Macaca fascicularis: one gene and its partner. The protein of the gene in region 1 purifies or fractionates together with the protein of each later gene. This does not show direct contact. Links are inferred from orthologs where the notes say so. Each region holds a gene or a part of one and is shown in the gene's direction. Other genes may lie near its edges.

Region 1 (7,936 bases):
AGGTGCGAGGGCTCACACCTGTAATCCCAACACTTTGGGAAACCAAAGCAAGAGGATTACTTGAGGCCAGAAGTTCAAGACCAGCCTGGTCAACAGAGTAAGACCCATATCTCTGCAAAAACTAAAAAAATTACCCGCACATGGTGACCCACACCTGTAGCTGGGGAATGCAATAAGCACTCCAGGCTGGCAGCCTGGGTGACAGAATGAGACCCTTTCTCAAGAAAAAAAAAGGGGGTGGTGCTGGGCGCAGTGGCTCAGGCCTGTAATCCCAGCATTTTGGGAGGCTGAGGTGGGTGGATTACCTAAGGTCAGAAGTTTGAGACCAGCCTGGCCAACATGGTGAAACCCCGTCTCTACTAAAAAAAAAAAAAAAAAGAAAAAAAAAATTAGCTGGCCATGGTGGTGGGCACCTGTAATCCCAGCTACTTGGGAGGCTGAGGCAGGAGAATCACTTGAACCTGGGAGGCAGAGGTTGCAGCAAGCTGAGATCACGCCACTGCACTCCAGCCTGGGCGACAGTGAGACTCTGACTCAAAAAAAAAAAAAAAAAAAAAAAAGAAAAGAAAGAAAGAAAGAAAAAAGAAAAAAAAAAAGGAACACAAGCTTTGGAGCAGGTCTGCTATTCATACCCAAATACCTCCCCTTAATCTCTTTCGGTCTCATTTACAAGGTCCAGCTCCAGAGGAATGGAGTCAGTGTTGTGAAGTAAGAAAGTTAATATTTCATTTATATAGGCGAAGGGGTGGCCAGCCCCTCCACACCTGTGGGTGTCAGGTGGAACCAGAGACTTGAGAAAATATAGAAGAGAGACAAAGTAGAGAGAAAGAAAAGTGGGTCCAGCGGCACTCAGCATACAGAGGAACCGCACTGGCACTGGTCTCTGAGTCCCTTCAGTATTTATGGATCATTATCTCTACCATCTCGGAGAGGGGGATGTGGCAGAACAATAGGGTAATAGTCAGGAGAGGGTCAGCAGGAAAACATGTGAACAAAGGTCTCTGTGTCATAAATAAGTTTAAGTAAAGGTGCTGTGCCGTGATGTGCACACACACAAACATCTCGGTGCAATAAAAAGCAGTATTGCCGCCAGCATGTCTCACCTCCAGCCCTAAGGCTGTTTTCTCCTATCTCAGTAAATAGAACATACAATGGGGTTTTACACGGAGACATTCTATTCTCATGGACATGCAGGAGACAGATGCCTTCCTCTTAACTACAAAGAGGCCTCCCTCTTTCACTAATCCTCCTCGGCACGGACCCTTTCCAGGTGTTGGGCTGAGAGACCATCAGGCCTTTCCCTTCCCAGGAGGCCATATCTCAGGCTATCACATGGGAAGAAAACTTGGACAATACCTGGCTTTCCTAGGCAGAGGTCCCTGTGGCCTTCCGCAGTGTATTGTGTCCCTGGGTACTTGAGATTAGAGAATGGTGATGACTTTTAACAAGCATACTGCCTTCAAGCACTTTTTTAACAAAGCACATCCTGCATAGCCCTAAATCCCTTAAACCTTGAGTCAACCCAGCACCTGTCTCTGCACATGTGCTGTACACATGGCTTGGGGCTAGGGTTGCAGATTAACAGCAAGTTGAGGCAGAAGAATTTCTCTTAGTACAGAACAAAATAGAGTCTCTTATGTCTACTTCTTTCTATATAGACACAGTAACAGTCTGATCTCTTTCCCCACATATAGGCAAGCACACAGGACTTTTTAGCAGGATTACATTTTTCATAGAAGATTGGTACATAGTTATAGTAATTTGGTTGGCTATAGACAATGTTTCTTTTTGGGAAAAGTACATGTAACTTTTTTTTTTTCAATGTTTTTTGATTTGGAGTCTGGCACTGTTGCCTGAGCTGGAGTGCAGTGGCACGATCTTGGCTCACTGCAACCTCCTCCTCCCAGGTTCAAGGGATTCTTCTGCCTCAGTCTCCCAAGTAGCTGGGATTACAGGCACCTGCCACCACGCCCGGCTAATTTTTTGTATTTTTTTTTTCTTTTTTTTTGAGACGAAGTCTCTCTCTGTGGCCCAGGCTGGAGTGCAGTGGCCAGATCTCAGATCACTGCAAGCTCCGCCTCCCGGGTTCACGCGGTTCTCCTGCCTCAGCCTCCCGAGTAGCTGGGACTACAGGCGCCCGCCACCTTGCCTGGCTATTTTTTTGTATTTTTTAGTAGAGACGGGGTTTCAACGTCTTAGCCAGGATGGTCTCGATCTCCTGACCTTGTGATCCACCCGTTTCGGCCTCCCAAAGTGCTGGGATTACAGGCTTGAGCCACCGCGCCCGGCCCCAATTTTTTGTATTTTTAGTAGAGATGGGGTTTCACTATGTTGGCCAGGCTGGTCTTGAACTTCTGACCTTGTGATTCACATGTAACTTTTTTTTTTTTTGAGAGGGAATCTTGCTCTGTCTCCCAGACTGGAGTGCAGTGGCACGATCTCGGCTCACTGCAACCTCTGCCTCCCGGGTTCAAGCAATTCTCCTGCCCCAGTCTCCCAAGTAGCCGGGATTACAGTCGTGAGCCATGGTGCCGGGGGTATGTAACATTTTTTTAACAGAGGATGAAATAGTCATGGATTTCCTGCACTCCAGCCTGGGTGACACAGCGAGACTCCCTCTCAAAAAAAAGAAAGTGAATTAATCTATAATCTGAGAACAGAAGTTGTAAACTATATGTGACTCACAGTCATATCTCTCTCGAGGCTTAAAATATTTTTTGGGATTGCAATAGCTTTTAAATTTTTTCTTTCTCTCTCTCTCTTTCTTTCGTTCTTTCTTAGTGTTGCTCTGTTGCCAGGCTGGAGTGCAGTGGCGCGATCTCAGCTCACCGCAGCCTCCGCCCCCCGGGTTCAAGCGATTTTCCTGCCTCAGCCTCCTGAGTAGCTGGGACTACAGGCACATGCCACCACGCCCGGCTAATTTTTTGTATTTTTAGTAGAGTCGAGGTTTCGCCGTGTTAGCAAGGATGGTCTCAATCTCCTGACCCCATGATCTGCCCGCCTCCGCCTTCCAAAGTGCTGGGATTACAGGCGTAAACCACTGCGCTCAGCCTAAATTTCATTATTTTCTGTAGTTTCCTGGCCTTTCGACTAAGGCTCATGTAAATTTTTTGTTATTTCTACACCAATTTCTGTAGATTATTATGAGAATTAAGGGAGATAATTATATAAAGGGCTTAACACAGTGTCTGGCATTTAGGAAGAAAGCAGTAAGTGGTAGCTATTATTTATTATTATTTTTTGTGATGGAGTTTCGCTTTTGTTGCCCAGGCTGGAGTGCAGTGGCCTCCCAGGTTCAAGCAATTCAGAGAGTTGCTGGCCGGGCACAGTGGCTCACGCCTGTAATTCCAGCACTTTTGGAGGCCGAGGTGGGTGGATCACCTAAGGTTGGGAGTTTGAGACTAGCCTGACCAACATGGAGAAACCCCATCTCTACTAAAAACACAAAATTGGCCGGGCGCTGTGACTCACGCCTGTAATTCCAGCACTTTGGGAGGCTGAGGAGGGCGGATCACAAGGTCAGGATATCAAGACCAGCCTGGCTAACCCGGTGAAACCCCGTCACTACTAAAAATACAAAAAATTAGCCGGGCGCGGTGGTGGGCGCCTGTAGTCCCAACTACTGGGGAGGCTGAGGCAGGAGAATGGCCCGAACCCGGGAGGCGGAGCTTGCAGTGAGCCGAGATCGCGCCACTGCACTCCAGCCTGGGAGACGGAGCCAGATCCGTCTCAAAACAAAAAAAAGAGAGTTGTGGTTTGATGGCCGGTGGGGGGGCGGGGCGGTGGTGAGGGGCGGGGCTTAGTGGTTCACGCCCACGGCTACAAGGCCCAATCAGACCCGTGGAGCAGGTGGAGTTCCGCCCTCGCTGAGGAGGTGGAGTTCCGCTCTCAACGACGCAGCAGGCGCGGAACTGGGGTTGCGGCGGCTAAGTGTGTTTCCGGTAGATTCCCAGGGGCGGTCGGAGGTGTGGACTGTTCCTGCCTTCATGCTCTGGGAAGATGTTCTACCATGTGAGCAGGGCCCAGGGTGGCGGCAAGGGCTGGGTGGAAAGGAGGAGCAAGGCCAGGCGCCGGCGCGAGGCTCCCCTTGTCGTCTGATAAGCTCCCAGCGCGTGGCCTGGTCGCCATCCCTCTTTTCTCCGCAGATCTCCCTAGAGCACGAAATCCTGCTGCACCCGCGCTACTTCGGCCCCAACTTGCTCAACACGGTGAAGCAGAAGCTCTTCACCGAAGTGGAGGGGACCTGCACAGGGAAGTGAGTGCCGAGCTCACCGTGCCGCCAGATCGTTCGATGCGCACACGGGTCGCTATACCTGCAAACCCTCCGCAACTCCTATTTAGTCCTGCCACCCACTCTAGGGACCCCGCTCACCCTCTCAGGCAGCCAGTTGCTTCCTGCTTTGGGTTCCCAGGGCGCCCTCTGCAATGCTGGACAATAAGACTTCCTTCCCTCAGCTGAGATTGGTCATTCATTCATTTACTCCTCAGACATTTTAAAAACACTTGGTGTGTGCCAGGACCCGTGTTGGGCTCAGAACAAGGTAGAATGGGAACAAGATAGAATGAGGCCAGCTCTTGTGGAGCTCACAGTGTAGTCATTGTTCCTGTGTCTCCTCTCACTCTGTCATTCTGCTGGTTTTCTCTTATCCCCTGTGTCCAGGGACCACACACCGTGGGCCTCTATATATCTTCTGAATGGATGACCAGAAAAAGTGGATCGAAAGTTTGGGGGAGGAAGGAAGTAGACTGGGACTTGACCATCTCTGGGCTTTGCACTGAGGGCCTTCTGTGATATTAATGAGCTGGGACCCAGCCCAGGGCAGTGGAGTACTTGGGCCTCCAGCATCAGAAAAACCTGCAGGAACATGCAGATTCCTGAGCCTCCTTATTCCCTACAGAATCAAGACTCTGTGAGGCAGACCTGAGAATCTGCATTTTAAGAAGATGATTCTCAGGCATCCCGAAGATTGAGATCTGTTTCCTCAAGGACTCCAGCCTTCTTGTACATTTACTGTGAAATTACCAGAACAGCATTTGGTCTTATACATACTGATCTGTGTTCTTTTTTTTTTTTTTTTTTTTTTGAGACGGAGTCTCGCTCTGTGGCCCAGGCTGGAGTGCAGTGGCCTGATCTCAGCTCACCGCAAGCTCCGCCTCCCGGGTTCAGGCCATTCTCCTGCCTCAGCTTCCCGAGTAGCTGGGACTACAGGCGCCTGCCACCTCGCCTGGCTAGTTTTTTGTATTTTTTAGTAGAGACGGGGTTTCACCGGGTTAGCCAGGATGGTCTCGATCTCCTGACGTCGTGATCCGCCCGTCTCGGCCTCCCAAAGTGCTGGGATTACAGGCTTGAGCCACCGCGCCCAGCCCATACTGATCTGTGTTCTGTCTTCTCTTGGTCATTAAGCTCTCTGGGAGCAGAGGTGCTATCTACTTGTCCTTTTGCTCTCCCCGACACTACTCCCAAGAGCTCAGTGACTTTTATTGCAGATGTCTCTAGAGGCTCTTGGACACACAATGTCTTTCTGTTTCTCATCCTCCTTGCAGGTATGGCTTTGTAATTGCTGTCACCACCATTGACAATATTGGTGCTGGTGTGATCCAGCCAGGCCGAGGCTTTGTCCTTTATCCAGTTAAGTACAAGGCCATTGTTTTCCGGCCCTTTAAAGGGGAGGTCGTGGATGCTGTTGTAACTCAGGTCAACAAGGTGAGACCATACGTAGGGGAGGCATTGGGGTAGTCTCTCAGTAGATCTGGGTTGGGTCCTGGCTCCACTTCATAACTGTGCCTTCAGCTAAGTCACTTTACTTCTTTTTTTTTTTTTGAGACGGAGTGTTGCTCTGTCGCCCAGGCTGGAGTGCAGTGGTGCCATCTTGGCTCACTGAAACCTCTGCCTTCTGGGTTCCAGTGAGTCTCTTGCCTCGGCCTCCCAAGTAGTTGGGACTAAAGGCAGGTGCCACCATTGCCGGCTAAGTTTTTGTATTTTTTTAGTAGAGATAGGGTTTTGCCATGTTGCCCAGGCTGATCTCGAACTCCTGAGCTCAATCTGCCTTCCTCGGCCTCCCAAAGCGCTAGGATTACAGGTGTGAGCTACCACGCCTAGCCATCACTTTACTTCTTGTGCTGCACTTTCAAATTGTATGGTAATCTTCCCTGCCCAACTCAGAGGGCAAGAGTCAACATTAATAGTCATAACAATAAAAGCCTGTGTTGATTGAGTAGTGACTGTGGGCCAGGTGAAGTGCAGAGACTCACAATGACTAAAAGGTGGGTGCTTTCCTTTTTTTTTTTTTTTTAAGATGGAGTTTAGCTCTGTCGCCAGACTGGAGTGCAGTGGCACAATCTTGGCTCACTACAACCTCCGCCTCTGGGTTCAAGTGATTCTCCTGCCTCAGCCTCCCAGGTAGCTGGGACTATAGGCATGCGCCACCACGCTCAGCTAATTTTTGTATTTTTAGTAGAGATGAGGTTTCTCCATGTTGGTCAGGCTGGTCTCAAACTCCTGACCTCAGGTGATCTGCCTGCCTCAGCCACCGAAAGTGCTGGGATTGTAGGCGTGAGCCACTGCCCCCGGCCAGTGGGTGCTTTTTACAGAAGCTGAAGCTTAGAAGAAGTTAAGTGTATTGGCCAAGATCATGTGGCCAACAGGTGTTCAAATCTTGGACTAACAGGCCTAAGCTCTTTAATACTTTAAAATGAAAGGTTAGGCTGGGCATGGTGGCTCACATCTGTAATCCCAGCACTTTGGGAGGCTGAGGTGGGCAGATCACCTGAGGTTGGGAGTTCAAGACCAGCCTGGCCAATATGATGAAACCCTATCTCTACTAAAAATACAAAAATTAGCCAGGCATCGTGGCATGTGCATGTAGTCCCAGCTACTCGGGAGGCTGAGGCATGAGAATCACTTGAACGTGGGAGGTGGAGGTTGCAGTGAGTTGAAATTGCACCACTGCACTCCAGAGTGAACAACAGAGCGAGATTCTGTCTCAAAATAAATACATAAATAAATACAAATGAAAGCTTAAAAAAAAAGAGAAGAGGGCTGGGTGTGCTGGCTTACACCTATAATCCCAGTGCTTTGGGAGGCAGAAGTGGGAAGATTGCTTGAGCCTAGGAGTTTGAGACCAGCCTGGGCAACATAGCAAGACTCTGTCTCTACAAAAAGTTTTAAAAAATTAGCCTAGCATGGTGGTGTGCACCTGTGGTCTCAGCTACTTGGAAGGCTGAGGTGGGAGGATTGCTTGAGCCCAGGAATTCAAAGGTACAGTGAGCTGTGATTACACCACTGCTTTCCAACCTGGGCAACAGTGAGAACCTGTCTCAAAATTTAGAAAGCAAAAAACAAAAACACAACACTTGAGGGGACAAAGAAAAGCAAGATCACTCTTTTTTTTTTTTTGAGACGGAGTCTTGCTCTGTTGCCAGGCTGGAGTACAATGGCGAGATCTGGCTCACTGCAACCTCCGCCTCCCGGGTTCAAACGATTCTCCTGCCTCAGTCTCTTGAGTAGCTGGGATTACAGGTGCGCTACCACACCCAGCTAATTTTTGTATTTTTAGCAGAGACAAGGTTTCACCATGTTGGTCAGGCTGGTCTTGAACTTGTGACCTCATGATCCACCCGCCTCGGCCCCCCAAAGTGCTGGGATTATAGGCATAAGCCACCGTGCATGACCATAAGATCACTCATTTTTTTCTAGGTTGGACTCTTCACAGAAATTGGACCCATGTCTTGCTTCATCTCTCGACATGTAAGTCTAGGCACACTGGGTGGGGCTGAGGAAGAGAGATACCCATTCATTACCATCTACTGAAGCATCCTTTTAAAGTGCTACCCTAATCTCACTTTCCTTTCAGTCCATCCCTTCAGAGATGGAGTTTGATCCTAACTCCAACCCACCATGTTACAAGACAATGGATGAGGTAAGTGGACAGAAAGA
Region 2 (8,088 bases), on another chromosome or scaffold:
TCGCTGTGGAAGACTGGTCCTGTAGAGCTGTGTGAACCTGCCTGGTCAAGGCTTCCTCTGCAGTGCTCTTGAGTATTCCGTTCCTGCTTAGGCCACAGCAGTGAGTCCAGGGAGAAACATCCTCCTACTCCCTTACCATCCAGCTGGACTGAAGATACTCTGCACTTGACCTCCTGACACTAACTTCTTTGCCTCTTCCCGTGGCAAGAGCAAATCATGGACTCTGAGCTACTTCCTCTCCCTTTCTACTATTTATTTTATTTTATTTTATTTTTGAGATGGAATCTCACCCTGTCACCCAGGCTGGAGTGAGGTGGTGTGCTCTTGGCTCACTGCAACCTCCGCCTCCTGGGTTCAAGCAATTCTTCTGCCTCTGCCTCCCAAGTAGCTGGGAATACAAGTGCCCACCATCACGCCCAGCTAATTTTTGTATTCTTAGTAGAGGTGGGGTTTCACCATGTTTGCCAGGCTGGTCTCTTAACTCCTCACCTCAAATGATCTGCTCACCTCGGCCTCCCAAAGTGCTGGGATTATAGGTGTGAGCCACTGCACCCAGCCCTTCCTCTCCCTTTCTCTTTGGGATTCCCCTCACTAACAGGTGAGGCAGCTTTTTCAAGGGCATTCCAAGCACAAAAGACCTTGTTGTACCTAAATACTATAAGGGACCTGTCATTGAGGACGAACCATCACAGCAAGAGTAGTTATCTTGTGCCGCATCTTTGCATAACTGACAGGATTCCTGGCAAGGATGTCTCAATGCAGAAAGTTGGCTAAGTGAACTGCAGTATCCACCCTGGACCTAAGAGAACTTGCTAATGTTTTCAAGACTGCTGTTCAGTGGTTATCTGATTCAATCTTTGCATTTACAAAAGCACCCTTTTACATATATTAAATGTGGAATAAAACTATCCGTGTGTGTTTTGTGTATCCTGGTGTATATAGTATTATATTTTATGAAGTATTTCATTCATTCTGGAAATAGCTGTTGAGACCCATGGTGTACCAGATCTGTAGAAACTGAAATGCATTCATGTGTCTGGGGGTGTGTGTAACACTACCGTGTATTTGATGAAACTTTCATTGACTTACTCCACAAATATTATTTTTCTGTCTACTGGGGATACCAAAAAGAGCCAGTGCCCTTGAGGAACTCAGTCATGTCAATGCTTCTTAGTTTTTAAAAAACAGGTAAGTTGAGTACTTTCCAATGTTTATTTTTCAAGACAGTCTTGCTCTGTCACCCAGGTTGGAGTACAGCGGCATGATCTCAGCTCACTGAAGCCTCTGCCTCCTGGGTTCAAACAATTCTTTTGCCTCAGCCTTCCAAGTAGCTGGGATTACAGGTGCCACCATGCCCGGCTAATTTTTGATTTTTTGGTAGAGAAGGGGTTTCACCATTCTGGCCACGCAGGTCTTGAACTCCTGACTGCAAGTGATCTGCCCACCTCGGCCTCCCAAAGTGCTGGGATTACAGGCATGAGCTACCAGGCATAAGCCACCATGGCTGGCCCCACATTTTGTTTGTTTTTGTTCATTTGAGACAGAGTCTGTTGCCCAGCCCGGAGTGCAGTGGTGCAATCTTGGCTCACTGCAACCTCTGCCTCCCGGGTTCAAGCAATTCTCCTGCCTCAGCCCCCTCTAGTAGCCAAGATTACAGGTGCGCGCCACCACGCCCAGCTAATTTTTGTATTTTTTGTAGAGATGGGGTTTCACCATGTTGGCCAGGCTAGTCTCGAACTCCTGAGCTCAAGTGATCCACCCGCGTCAGCCTGCTGAAGTGCAGGGATTACAGGCTTGAGCCACCACTCCCGCCCAAATGTTTCTTAAAATAACTTGACCCATGCAAAATAAATTGTCTCCTATGTAATCCTTTATTTAAAAAAAAAAAAAAAAAAAAGATACTGTACATCCGAGTTAGAAATTGAAAGGCAAGACCAGAATATGCCTGAGGAAGGCTTTGTTTATTTTGCTTATCAGAAATGAGATAAAGAATTATCTCCGAATGGGCCAGTTTCCAACTTGGACCATGTACACCATATACACAATGCTCCGCATTCTGGGAGGGGTGAGGTTGGGAGCAGTAAATGACAAGTGTTTTGCCCGTGTTTCTTTTCTCCTCCAAGTGGATGTAAAACTTTTCACATGTGCAGAAGCACGCAACTATAGCCACGTGCAGAAGCAGCCGTTTTTGCAAATGAAAACATTTCCCAGAAGCACAACAAATACAAGACTAACAGGTGCCAGGCAGCGCCAAGGCACACATGTGGTTCTCATCAGCCGTCTTCCTCCTGTTTTAAATCTAGGTCTTCCTGTAACAGTGGGGAAAAAAAAGATTTCTCCCGAGGCCGCCGAGCTTGCCTTTCCACCCCGTCTCACAACAGCATTTCCAACAGAGTTCCCAGAGAGAGGGGAGCAATTACAGAAGGCAATAAGTAGGGTGGAGGGAGGAGGGGCGCCCTTAAACTTGACACCTGCGGTTCTGGGCTTAACCCCGAAGTCTAGGTGACCTTGGGCCTCCGTTTCCTCCTGTGACGTGTTTGGTTAAGAGAATGAGCATCTCAGTTTTACAGCACCTCCAGGCAGAGGCGGGTAGAAGGGTCTTTCAATCACGGGGTTTTCTGCCGGTAGCGGGGCGGGGGGACTGTGCCCCAACAAGGGATGGCGGCAATGACTGCAGACTGGGGGAGGGGGCGCTTCTGAGGCCAGAAATGCCGCTCAACTTTCGACAGATCGCGGGACCCGCCCCAACGACAGAGCAATATCGCCCAAATGCCAGTGGCGCCGAGGTGGAGAAGCCGCGGCGTAGACGCAGATTTGCAACCTCCGGCTTTCCAGCGTTCCCAGCTACGGGGGGCGGCTTCTTTGCCGCCTCACGTTTTCGCGATCGGGGTCGCGCGTGGCGATGCAGACCCCCGCCCGTCACCACACCCATTCCCACACTCTCTAAGGGGCGGGGGCGGCCGCGGCGACACCCCTGGACTCCTCCGATGACCCTTCCGTGCGCAGAATCACAACGTGGACGTCTGCTTCCCTCGCCCTCACAAAAACTTCGGCAGCTGCTCAGCCTGCGACTCTCATCCCCCAGTCACGCGCCGGGAAGGCTCTCCTAGAGGAAGGATTTTCCCGCCGCCCTCCCTGCCCTGAGGTAGCCGCCGCGAGCGTCCGGGTTCAAGGACTCTTTGCGCGCGCGCTTCCGTCAGAAAGCCCCGCCCCGCGACCCGGGCGGGGGCGGGGTCTCCAGGCAGCGACCGTTGCCCCGCCCAACCTCCTCCCAACGGCTGCCTAGGCCGGGCGGCGGGGCGGGGCGGCACAGGCGGGTGAGTGCGCCTGCGCGCGCGTGCGCGGAGGCGCGGGGCGGGGCGCACGGGCAGCCCCGCCCATGCCTGGCGTCTCCGCCCGTCCCATCTCCCAACCTCCTCAGCGTGGCGCCGACGCTGCGTGCGGCGCGGACTACCCAGAGTACTCCGCGCGGGGGCAGCTCACTGGAGTTTGGTTCTCGAGGCGGCGGCAGCAAGCGGCGGCGGCTCCGGCGGCTCCTCCTCCTCCGGTGGCGGCGGCGGCCCGGGACCGAGACCCGGCCCCGGCTCCCCTCTCCGCCACCCCGCGCGCACCTAACCCTCCGGCGCCGCGGGGAACATGCGGCTCCGGCTCCCGGAGGCCGGCGAGTGAGTGACCCCCGTCCCCCGCCTCAGCCCGCCCGCCCGCTGGCCCGGCCGCAACCCCCGCCTCGCCCAGGCAATGACAGCGGCTCCGGCGTCTCCGCAGCAGATCAGGGACCGGCTGCTGCAGGCCATCGACCCCCAGAGCAACGTAAGTACCCGCCGCGCGAGCTGGGACGGAGGCCGCATGGGCCTGGGACCCTCCCCCTCTCCTGTCCCCCTCGCCCACCGGGCTTCGGGGGACCCGTCTGGCGCCCACCTCCCCTCGAGGGCCGCTGCCATCTCTGCCTCTCACTCCTCGGGCCCGGGCCGGGGGCAGGTCGGGCAGCCCGGCAGCGCTTGGTACGTGAGGCCGAGGCTTCCGTGCGGCCTGGGCGGAGGAAGCAGACGGGGGGCTAAGGGTAGAGTTTATCTCCCCTTTCTGCTCCAGCTCTATGACCCTCACTGCTCTGGACGAAGCTGCCCTGCATCGCCCTCCCTCCGGGACCTGAGACCCCCGGGAAGCCCTCCCGGAGCGGGGGAGGGGAGGGAGAAGGGCTGTGAAGCAACTGGTGTCCGGGGTATGACTCGGGGAGCCTGTGTCTCCCATGTCTTAGCCTTCTGGGTTATGAGAGAAGTCCTTCCCCCTCCTCCCGGCTGGCAGCACCTTCCTGGCTTCGGAGAGAACCCCCAGTGTGTTTTGCCCCTGGCCGGGTACCCAGGGTACGTGGAGAGTCTGTCTCCCTTCTGTGACTGGACACGCCTTCGCCAAAACCCTCTTGGGGTCGCTGCCAGCGACAGATGATTTCGGGGAGGGTGGGATCCTTCCTGTTGCCTTTCTGGGCCTCAGTACCCATTGCGTCTCTGACCAAGCCAGAGCTCCATTTTTTTGGGTAGTGAATTAAAGAGGACTTTTCTCTCCCGTTTACCCAAGAGCCCTGTTTCAGTAGGCTCTTTCCCTCACCTGGGGGTCTCAGCCTGGTGGCTATTGACCCAGACTGTCAGGGTTAACTCCAGGGTGTCGCTTCCTCGGGTGCCCCTTTGCTGAGGCTACTGTTGGCGGAGGGACCGCCCCTTCCCCCTCCGTATGTGTGGCTGTGTATCTGTGTGTGTGTATGTGTGTTGTTGCGGGGGTGGGGTGGGGGTGGGAAGACTGATCTATTCTCATATTTTCTCCAAGAGTTTCTTGGCAGTAGGGGTCATACTTCCCGCGGCAGGAGCAGGGCGGTGGGAAGATGCAGTAGCATCCAGGTATGAAGTGAGGCCCTGCTTCCCAGGAAGTGGCCATTGAGATCACTTTTTAATATGCTGTGAATGGAAGAAAAAAATCATCTTTGGCTTGGCCAGGTAACTCAGGTTTCTCTCACCGTAGGGGTTTTTACTTGTAGTTTTACATGAGCTTGGCTGATTACTCTTAGCAGTATGCTTAACTCTGATGATGTTTTTGGAATAATTCACGTTGACTTATACAATTTTTGGTAAGATTGAAGGGTTATGAGTTTTTTTCTAAGGCCCTGTTTTTGCTGTGATATAAGTACTTCTCTTATCCCTGGTATTCAGGTCCCATTAACATTGACTTGATGGTAATTGTCTTTAACAAATGTTATATTATACATTTTTGTTATGACTTTGGGGGTGGAGTGGGCACAAGCTATATAAAACCTTCTCGAATGTCCTTTTTGCAGTAACTGGTGCCACTGCAATTTTAAGATTGAAATATTAGAGGATAAAACTAGTGACATGAAAAAAATAGCCTTGGTGACTTGTACATCTTTTGTGGAGCCAGAAGGTAATTTTTTGAATTTCACGCACTCGCTTTCCTTCTGGAGAGTCTGAGAGGTTGCTGAGATATTAGCACTGATCCTTAATGCCACCTCAGAGAGCTTTGGGATCAGGCGGCACTTTGACAGGCGATCACAGTGTTGTAGATTAGGTCACTCCAGTGACCTCACAGTTTCCAGTATTGTGTAAGGCTCTAATCAAAAGGGTTCCTTGAGGCAGAAGAAAAGAGGACGGAACAAATCTTAGTTTTGTGTGTCTCAGCTCATGCAGAAATGTTATATAGGTCCCTGGTTATGTTACCTGACATGGAATTTGCATTTCATATCGCTTATTTTCAAGGACTTTGGTGATGATCTTGGGCAGAGTCCTACTAACATGGGGTGGATGGATTTGGGAAATTATCTTCTTGATTATGAGCAATGAGGAAAGTGCCTCCTTTGTGATTGATCCTCTGAGCGCTGTTATGGGCCGTTTGACAGGACCGTTCGCTTTGAGCAAACACCATGCAGAAACAGAGCTGCAGTGGACGGGGTTTGCTGGCGGAGGTGGTGGTGAGAGCTGGGCATGTCAGTGTGTCTGCAGTTTCTCTCGGATCAATGTGGGCTCAGGTGAGAGCAGGTGGCTCCAGCACAGGTGCTGCCGGTGTGCCGGTCTCTCCTCTCTGCCCTGCCCAATGATGAATTCCACTACTGGATATTTAGTTGACACATATTTAAGATGCTCGTGGAAAAAAAAAAAAAAAACGGGGACAGTGTTGAAGAGCCAACACTAAAATTAAACCTCTTCTGAGAGAAGCGGCAGAGAATTGTGTCATGTAATGCTTACCTTTATGGGCATGCAATTATGGTTAACAAACTTAGCTATTGCTTGCAAAATCAGTGTCAGGAACTGACCTAATATCCAAAAGTATCTGGAAAGTTAGGGAAGTGACGAAGTCGTGTTTACCAACCATCTCCTTGACAAAGAAATTCTTACGAGGAAAGTTGTTTCTGTGCTCTTTTAGCCCCTGGAGTATGCATTTGAATTCCTATAGCAGCAGGCTCAGAGTTAATAATTTCTGCCAATTCAGTAATAAAGTAAATCCTCTACTCTCCTTTTCAAAAGGCTACTAACGGTTTTTCAGAGCAGTCGGAGCTTTTCTTTTCGTTGTGCACCCTTTCAGCCCAGGGTGTTGAAAATCTCTCCGAAGCGCAGTGTGTGCATGATTGTTCCAGCTTACTCTCGCTGCATTGTGGGTAAAGTGAAGGACTGTGTCTTACTCTCGCACAGCAGTCGTAGTGAGCAGTCTCCTCAGCAGGTGATTCGGTTCCCATCTGCCTGGGACACTCTTTGTTTTGTGGAGGTACGAGCTTTATCTTCCTGTGCGGCACACAAGCTTCTTGGGATGTTTCATGTCTTGTCTTCTCCCTCTAGAGCAGAAGCATTTGGCACACTTTCTATCTGCTGCTTAAACTGACTGAACCCTAGCATCCATCTTGGACCTGTGCCTGAGGAGCTACATGTGAACCCCATTTTACTAGGAAGCCTTTGTAACTGCTTTATGCCCAAAAGTACAGTCGTGGAATATTCTAATGCAGAACTTTGGAGAGGGAAGGAGTCACAGGTGACTTGAGACGCTACTCAGTAGAACTGTGAGGAATATGGATGTTAAGTGATGATTAACAAACTTAGCTTTTAGAGGAAAGGTCCAACAGATAGTAGACGGTGTACTGCATCCTCATGACAAATAAAATAACAGCACAGGGCAGGGCTTGCTAACTGCAGGTGAATGTCCTGTGTTCAGAGCAGGGAGAGGCCTGAGAAGGTCCTGCAGCAAAGAGGGACTTGAACTAGCCCTGGCTGCTTGTGTCAGTGCCTCCAGCTGTCAGGCTCTGAGTGGGAAACGTCCTTGGGAGCTGCTTGCTTTCTTACAGCTCTTCAGGCAACAGAGACCAAGGGGGAGGTGACCAAGGCACGCTGCAGAGAGACCCAGCAAGAAAGATAATTTTCCCACCTAAGAATTGGAAGGTTGGATGTTGCTTACCTTGACTTTCCTGCAGATTTCTTGTCCACAGGGTGGGATTGGGAACGGGTGTATGCACCCCATAAACCTCCTTCCAGATCTAAGTTCAGATCCTGGAAGGGACAGCAGAGTCTAATGTCAATTGTTCTAGAAGGGTTTTTTGTTTTGTTTTGTTTTGTTTTTAATATATCTTTGCAAGGTACATTGTTTGAAGTTTCTCAGCTAACAAAATTCTAAACCAAGGTGTATGCTTTGTTAGTTTGTGTGGCACCCGTCAGAGAGTTCTGCTTCCTCCCAACAGCCTTGTGAGTGGGAGAGCCAGTCTCCCCTTTCGCAGGTGCAGAAGCCAGCAGCATCAGGTAGTAGGTGCTGCTCAGTGGTGTCTCCTGGGGCAAGCAGAGGACAAAATGCTTTTGTTTCTTACTGACTTAATGGGAGGTGGTGGAACCAAAGTTAGGGACTTACCCAGAGTCATTAAGTGACAGTCCTTAGAGTCCTTCCAACTCTGAACACCACCACGCTGTCTTGAAAGATGGAGAGATGGCTCCAGAAGAGGCACGAGGGGGCAGCGTTTTTGAGCTGATAAGAAAACTTGTGGGGATCCTGTAACGTCCCCTATGAGTTTATGTGAGATTACAGCCTGGGGCTGGATCTACCTATGTTAGA

What was found. Proteins that work in one complex are often made in the same cells at the same time.
Region 2: the proteins of POLR2G (region 1) and MED26 purify together in Homo sapiens (affinity purification with mass spectrometry; 6 studies listed by BioGRID and IntAct, counting the BioPlex papers as one, with this or other methods). This does not show direct contact. The link is inferred for Macaca fascicularis from reciprocal best matches to the Homo sapiens genes POLR2G and MED26.

What each region holds. Positions count from the first base shown.
Region 1 is NC_088388.1:11,290,600-11,298,535, reverse strand, and holds the start of POLR2G (DNA-directed RNA polymerase II subunit RPB7), read left to right. Parts: upstream 1-3,901; 5' UTR 3,902-3,986; coding exon 3,987-4,255; intron 4,256-5,544; coding exon 5,545-5,704; intron 5,705-7,696; coding exon 7,697-7,747; intron 7,748-7,853; coding exon 7,854-7,919; intron 7,920-7,936. UniProt on the Homo sapiens protein: Core component of RNA polymerase II (Pol II), a DNA-dependent RNA polymerase which synthesizes mRNA precursors and many functional non-coding RNAs using the four ribonucleoside triphosphates as substrates.
Region 2 is NC_088393.1:16,960,328-16,968,415, reverse strand, and holds the start of MED26 (mediator of RNA polymerase II transcription subunit 26), read left to right. Parts: upstream 1-3,481; 5' UTR 3,482-3,738; coding exon 3,739-3,810; intron 3,811-8,088. UniProt on the Homo sapiens protein: Component of the Mediator complex, a coactivator involved in the regulated transcription of nearly all RNA polymerase II-dependent genes.